Linked DNA regions of Oryzias latipes. The protein of the gene in region 2 purifies or fractionates together with the protein of the main gene of each other region. This does not show direct contact. Links are inferred from orthologs where the notes say so. Each region holds a gene or a part of one and is shown on either strand. Other genes may lie near its edges.

Region 1 (3,652 bases), on a different chromosome or scaffold from region 2:
ATATTTCAGACTGTTTATTTTTGCTTTTATACGTTAAAGAAATATAATGCCTCAACGATCAGACATGGCAAAGATCCAGAATCTCACGCTGTATAAGGCCAATCAATGAAGATACAAATCTAACAAAAGGTAATATTTAGAACAAAACATATTGTTTTTCAAATTCAGGCAACAGACTGTCAGAGTTTTATTAGCCAATAATCCACAAAAAGTCCAATAACATCTGTTTGACATCTTTCTAAAGGAATAGGCTTGATTATATAAATGGTAAAGACTGTATTCTTATCCAGTGTTTTCTGCTCTTTTCTGCCTTCCATGAAGTCCCAAAGTACCTTACAGTCACAATCACAATTCCATTCACGCCGCACACACTGCTGCTGAACACTGGCATCCACCTGAACATGGGGTTCAGTGTCCTGCCCAAGGACACTTCAGCACATGGGCAGGTGAGGTGGGAACCGAAGTGATCTTCTGATCAGAGTACAATCACCCTACCAGTGCACCACTGTCGCCCCAGTATACTTTAAAATAAGTAGACTTCATGGCCCATACAGAATTACACAACAAAACCTGAAACATTTGCAGGAAGCAGAACAGCTGGAAAAGAACAGTATTAAGGAAGAGCTCTTGAATCTGTTGCGCTCGGCTTAATATGTAGTAATAGGTTTGGTTGGAATGTGGTAATCAATTCTTACTGATATACAAAAACAAAGGCTTCTGTTGTCTTTTTTTGTACTTTTGTCTCGAGTTTGATTTATGTCATGTCAGTGTTTGGGCCTGGTTTCAATTTCTTATCATCACAGCGTGCTTGTCATTCTTCATCAGTAACGTCTAATCATTGATTTTTTTTTTCTTTTCTGCCAGACACTTGTCATTGGTTTTGTGACTGGTTTCTGCAAATATTTTGGTTCACGTTTTTTTTTTATTGTTTGAGTTTTATACTTTTAAAGTGTTTTTTAGAATATTTTCTTTGCATCCTCACCAGAAACACAAAGATATTAAATGATCATGAACTCCAGTGTAATTTATTTTGCATTATTTAAAAAAAATTAATTAACCACCATTTTTTTTACTATTTACAGACAACTAGTTAATATGAATAAAAAGTTGATGAAAGTTACAAGCATCCGTTAAAACATGAAATTATGATAGATTACATGTTTGCCTAAATAAAAATTTCCTACTTTTAACTAAATTGATCCCTTAGTTCCAGGTTTAGATGTTGAGGTCTCCTGCCTTTCCCTAACCTGCTAAATCAAGGCTTAAGCTTGTAAAAAAAAATGGCAATTCAAGAATCCTCAGGTCTCTATAAATGGGTAAGATACTACCAAACAGAGGAAGGGTGTTAAATATGTCAGGTCAGACAGTTTTGCTCTGCGTGCCAAAGTCAGCCAAGGAACACATATCAAACAGAGAGCTTCAACTAAATTCCTTGACGTGCATCCAAATCTTCTATATGTTGTTTTGTTTTTATTTCAGTTTTTATACTGACACCTTTTTCTAAAAATAATTTGTAAAATTAAGTTTTTTTCTTTTTTGAATTCCCAGTAATATAATTTTATGTAAAAGAAAAAATGTGCACATCCCTTGGGGCCACATCTTACACCAGTTTGCCTGTCCAGTGTCTGACAGGACATATTCACTGAAACATCAATACCGGCCACCTCCCTGAAATGATTTCTCAGTCCCACACTCGTCTTAACCTTACTCTTGTCTTATGTACAGAGAAGACCATTTCTCTTGGGATATATTAATGCTCCCCGCAGCCTAGGGAGACATTTTTCAGTGTGAAGTTGACATTAACTGTTGTTGCAGGGGCTGATTGTCCGCACCGCAGGCCATACTTTATGGAGCCTCTCACTTCTCCCAACATTGATCTGCCAATGCTTTATAGTGTGCAAGTGGGCTGTGTGTGCAGAGATGTTCACAAAAAGAAGAAAGAGTTGCGATCACTAAAAATAAAAGTACAAGGAATTTCATCATTGATAAAAAAATAGGTGACAGCAAAATATGCATATTTAAGTAAGATTTTTCTTTGAAGATTTTCTATGAAGATAAAAAAAGGAAAAAATAGTTTAAATGAAAGGGTTAAAGAAATGTGAGTTTAAGATGTAAGGTTTACCTGAGACACTTTGCGAACCACCTCTGCACTCTTTACTAGTCCCTGTAGAAATGAACGTGCTGCCAGGAGTGTGCGAGTCACTTCTCCAGACATTTTACGGGGTGTTTCTCCAAAAGGTCTTATCGTCTCAATCTGCTTTGACAAACACTCCAGGTAGTCTTCACCTGAAAGGAGCATAGACATTATTCAAAATCTCTTTTATAAGGTGCCATATATATTTTTAAGAAAAACTGTGAAACAAAAATCTTTTTAAAAAGTAAATTCAGCACTTTTTTTCTTTTTAAAAGTGGCCTTTCACTCGCAAATCGAGTAGAAGGGATCAAAGTTTAGTCTAAATCTGAAATTAATCTGTAATGAGTCGAGTCTTTGTTAAAAATCAAGGGAGAAAATCCAGTAATTTGTTTTAAAACTGGCAGTAGTTTTTTAAACAAAGATTGCTTAAGCCAAATTGTAACCACCACTTTGAATTTGTAGTTCCATGTATAAACATACCTAATGAAAATTGCTTGTTTTTCTGATAGACGAGCTTTTCCAGTAGCTTGGCCCAGAATTCATTTAGGACTTCTTCCAGGTTGACACTGCCACCTCGGCAGTAGCCGCTTAAATCATTGTACAGGTCAGAAAACACCTGAGTATTCATCTGGTACAGAAGACCCCAGGTTGAAGTAAAACTCTTCTGCAGCCTTGCCATGGAACGATTCAGCAAGTCCAAGAAGAAACCTAAGAAAAGAAATAAAGGAAATGTCAGTCTTTGAAGAACAGGGAAAAAGCACTAATGCTACAATGTTATTGTCCCTATTCTACGTTCACACCAGGCTCAGAAACATGCACTTGAGCCGCTGATTTGCGAGATTTGCATTGCTTAGTCATTTTGCACCAAGCCCTTTCCAACTGTGAATATGTGCCCTACTATCGGGTAGTGACACACCTGTGTGAACATCATATGCTAAAAGTGCGTGCAAAACCCCATGTTCAGCACGTTCTTGAGTGTGCCACCTATGCACAGTGTGTACGTGCCAATAGATTCACAAATAGTTGTACTTTTCTTTATAGAGCAGGCCAAAATTACATAAGTTAGCATCTCTATATTCCAGTTATTGAAGGTTAAATATGATCATTTTTACATAATACATACAAAATGATCACCATTTTTTTATTTTAGCTATATTGTTGACTGTTTTGGTCCTGGGTCAGAACAATACTCACTTAACATAACATTTGGTGTAACAAGGCTTGTAGAGTGCCAACTATCCATTTCAAATAAAAGTACAAAAGTTCTGAGAAGTGAAAAAAAGAAAAATAAATTAAAGGATTAATAAATATGAATATTCCATGCTTTGTCCAGACCACATGTTAAACATAGTTGACCTTATTCTAGTTAAGATGAAAAGAAAAGGGTTTTTGCTTGGCATTTGTGGTATGAGCCTAATTGGGATAAGGATTGGTGATGTCTTTCATATGTTGTAGTTGTTGATCTGTGAAAAAGCTTTTTTGTCCATGGAACACCACTGTGTTTGCAGGTGTAAGTGC
Region 2 (3,752 bases):
ACCTGCACCAAAGACAGACGTGTTCAGGGACGAAGGAGGCCAGAGAAAAACAGATCCATCAAGAACTTGGAATGCATTTGATGCACGGATGGATTCCATTACGGCCTTCTGACTAAAGAACACCTTAATCTCAGATTAAAAGGCAGATTTAGACCTTTCTGCAGCCTTAAACAGGAGGGCAGAGATGCTGGATTGGGGAGTGAAGCTGATGTTTCTGCATGTCATTAAGCAAACAGGTCACCTGATGTGAGCACCCACCATCTTGGGGAGTCTCTGCGTGCCTCCGGCTCCAGGTAAGAGGCCCAGCATGACTTCAGGAGTACCCAGAACTGTCTTCTTGCTTTTGGTTGCGATTCTGTACTGACAGGCGATGGCAAACTAAAAACAACAACAAACAAACAGTGACAACGAGGCCGAGTTCACCTCCGACAGGACAACAGGAAGCACTCACCTCCAAGCCTCCTCCTAAACACGAGCCGTTGATGGCAGCAACCACAGGTTTGGGAGATTTTTCAATCTTCTCGAACATCTTCTGGCCTTCCTGAGACAGTCTGCTGACCTCCTCTGCGCTCTTACAGCTCTGGATCATGCTGAAACGCACAACGTTTCCCAGACTCGTCACCGGATCCACACCCAAACAAAGCGTGGTTACTCAGGAAAGCTGCTAAAGCGCCTGCAGGCCGACACCAAACAAAAGCTTCGGCTGCAGGGACTCTTACTTAATATCGGCCCCAGCGATGAAACATCCAGGCTTGGAGGAGATCAGAACGGCACTTTTGACGGCGTCGTTGGCCCACACTTCCTCCATGACTTCCGTCAGGTCCTTTTGCATTTGCGTCGACAGCGTGTTGACCTGAAGACGCGCCGCAGCTAAAGTCACGCCATCGGAGTCAAACCAGCCGAGTTTGAGTTCTCACCTTTGAGTTTGGATCGTTGATTCGGACCACGGCCACGTCATCCTTGATCTCATAGTTCACGTGGGTCCGAGCTGCGAAGAGAGCAGACGGGGAAAAGGTCAAACGCCGAAGAACGACGGGACCTGAAGGCAGCAGGAGGGGAGTTACCTAGCATGGCAGGAGCCAGGGAGAATGAGCGATAGATGCTGCCTGAAAGAGAAAACACAGTGACAGTGGTTAGTAGACTACAGCTGCAGCTCTTTTCCCTTATTTAGGCTGTTTTAGCTCTGGAGCGGTCCTGTGGATAATCATGCTCGGTTTGCTTCCAGCAGAAAACCGGAGTGGCCCAAAACGCCTGGGAGAACCGTGCAGTTCCACAAACTGCTCATCTGGGGGCGCTACTTTCCCACGACCTGACCAAAAGCAGGAAAAGAAAAGCGAACCAGAACAGAAACCCCACTCTCTACAACAGAACCTGAGTTCAGGTGAGCTATCAAACCAGAACAACCCTTAAAAGAAACCGGGTCTGGATCAGACCAGAACCAGACCTGCCACAGAGAATCTGAGTCCTTCCTATGAAATGCTCCCAAAAAAAACAGTCTGTCTCGAAAACACACCTGTGGTACTCTAACAACATGTTCGGTTTCACTGAGGTGTCCTCGTGTGACAGCCGTGACCTCTCGCGCGCATGCGCTGAGCACTCTCCTCGACAATGACCCTTCACCTACATTCCCCCCTACAGACACAATGGCGATGAATGACCCTCACTTTCAGACATTTGCCTAAACACGCGCCAGATCAGAACGGATCTGTTAAACCCGCAGCCAGAACCGTAAATGGACCGGCTCGCTCAGGCGGTTCTGAATCCTAGCCACGGATCACCATTGATTCCGTAGCAGGAAGCTAATTAGCACAACTTGGAGGTTTGCGCTGCGGCTTCACGGACCAAACAAACCGGAATCTGTTTACGTTCGGAGGGAAATCCACGAACTAGTGTTTTACGACACGTTTTCTTTGAACGACACCAACACGTTTGCTTAACAGCACCGCGCTCACTTCTGCGAAGCTACAAGCTAGTTGTCTCTGTGGGAACAGAAGCTAAAGCAGACCTCGTTATCTATTACCAAGTAAAACTCCCGCCTGCTCCTCGCCGCCGTTCAAACTCCGCAAAGGTTTGTTCTACCTGAAATAAGAGCATATCTCCTCGCTGACAGCTTGGAGAGAACACCAAGGGCTCGGACACCAGCCATGTTGGGAGCGGAGGTCAGTGTGGAGCAGAAGACTACAAACTCAGTCACTTCCGGAAATGGATTTCTCCTGCTAGGATTTCATTGGTCGCTACTGGAGAATGCGGGCTTGTTATTGGCTACTTCTGAAGACCCCGTTTTTGATTGGAAGTTGTGGGTCAACACATTCCTTGACACTGAATGTCGTTTTTACAGAATAAACGTAATACTTTTCTTGAAGTTCTATACATTTTTTCACCCCCACAACTTTTTCAAATATTTAATTAGATTTTTTGATTTTAAATGGTTTATTTAAAGCAATCAAAGCAAGAATAATGCACAAAACAACACAATCTGCAGTCATACATTCATACAAAGACGTATCAAACTTAGGATAATTAGACACTAAATCAAATTATCTAAAATATGTGCAGATTATTTTCATTAGAAAAATCCTAAAATTAAAAATAACACTATATCAGAAAATATGATCTGTTATTGTCTACATTTAAACTGTTTGACAATATAGCAGTAAAATCCATGCAGTGATTTACTATTCTACACATTTCCTTTCATTCTTTGGTCACACATGAAACTTTCCTCCACCTTTCCAACCTTTCCACAGTATCATCTGCAAACATGATGGTCCACATAGATTCCTGTCTAACCTCATCCGTCAGTCTGTCCATCACAGTGGAAACAAGAAGGAGCTCCAAGCTGACCTTTGATGCAGCCCCATCTCTGTCACCCCTACAGAACATCTCACCACTGTCTTCCAGCCCTCATCCGTGGCCTGAAGATCTCCATCGTTCTTCTGTGTCACTCCAGACGTCCTCATCCAAACCACAGCTCCTCTCTGGATCCCGTCATAGACTTCCTCTAAATCTACAAAGACACAAATCTGCTTCTTCTGACCTTCTATTTTCTTCTCCAGAAACCTCCTCACATTTCTAAATTTAGCAGGAATCCGTTATAAGTAAAAAAAAAAACAACAACAAAAAAAACAGTTTCCACTTGACATTAAAATAAACCCGACTGGGAACATGCATTCAGTACATGGAAGCTACCAAAGGGGGCAGTCTGCATCCATTTAGACAGATCTTTCATTCAAAGTCGTCCAATTTGACATTCATGTTATGACACTAAAGTTTAATTGTCTTATGTTGACATTAACGGCTCTTTTTGTTTAAATGTTTGAATAACTGGTTCATTTGTGGAAACTGTTGATAAGAACATGAGGCAGAAACAAACTTGTGGCTGGAACAGAAAACCCATTTTGGCAGAGCTGTATTCTCACCTTTGCAGCATATGTTGTCAATAAATAAAATGTATGGGAAAAAAAACACTAGCTTTCACAAATGTTCTGACGAGCAGTTTTCTCTTATAATAGAACGGGGCCTGATCACTGCTGCTCGGTTCATCAGTATTGTAAAACAACTTACAGGCATTTTTATCTAGATTTAAATCTACCGTTGATTGTGTGTGTGTGTGTGGGGGGGGGGGGTAAAATACTTTATGTTTGGCTTATCTTATTTTTTTTAACATAGCAGATAAAAACACATCAACATTTTAATAAGAAAATTATTATTTTAGCGTTTTAGAAATAAAAATATCAGAAAAAAAGAACCGA

Evidence for each region.
Region 1: the proteins of hadha (region 2) and glypican-1 purify together in Homo sapiens (co-immunoprecipitation; 3 studies listed by BioGRID and IntAct, with this or other methods). This does not show direct contact. The link is inferred for Oryzias latipes from reciprocal best matches to the Homo sapiens genes HADHA and GPC1.

The regions. Positions count from the first base shown.
Region 1 is NC_019875.2:23,932,580-23,936,231, forward strand, and holds part of glypican-1, read right to left. Parts: intron 2,843-3,652; coding exon 2,615-2,842; intron 2,287-2,614; coding exon 2,123-2,286; intron 1-2,122. UniProt on the Homo sapiens protein: Cell surface proteoglycan that bears heparan sulfate. Binds, via the heparan sulfate side chains, alpha-4 (V) collagen and participates in Schwann cell myelination.
Region 2 is NC_019880.2:962,449-966,200, reverse strand, and holds the start of hadha (trifunctional enzyme subunit alpha, mitochondrial), read right to left. Parts: upstream 2,209-3,752; 5' UTR 2,147-2,208; coding exon 2,080-2,146; intron 1,107-2,079; coding exon 1,065-1,106; intron 989-1,064; coding exon 918-988; intron 854-917; coding exon 720-853; intron 591-719; coding exon 452-590; intron 379-451; coding exon 259-378; intron 3-258; coding exon 1-2. UniProt on the Homo sapiens protein: Mitochondrial trifunctional enzyme catalyzes the last three of the four reactions of the mitochondrial beta-oxidation pathway.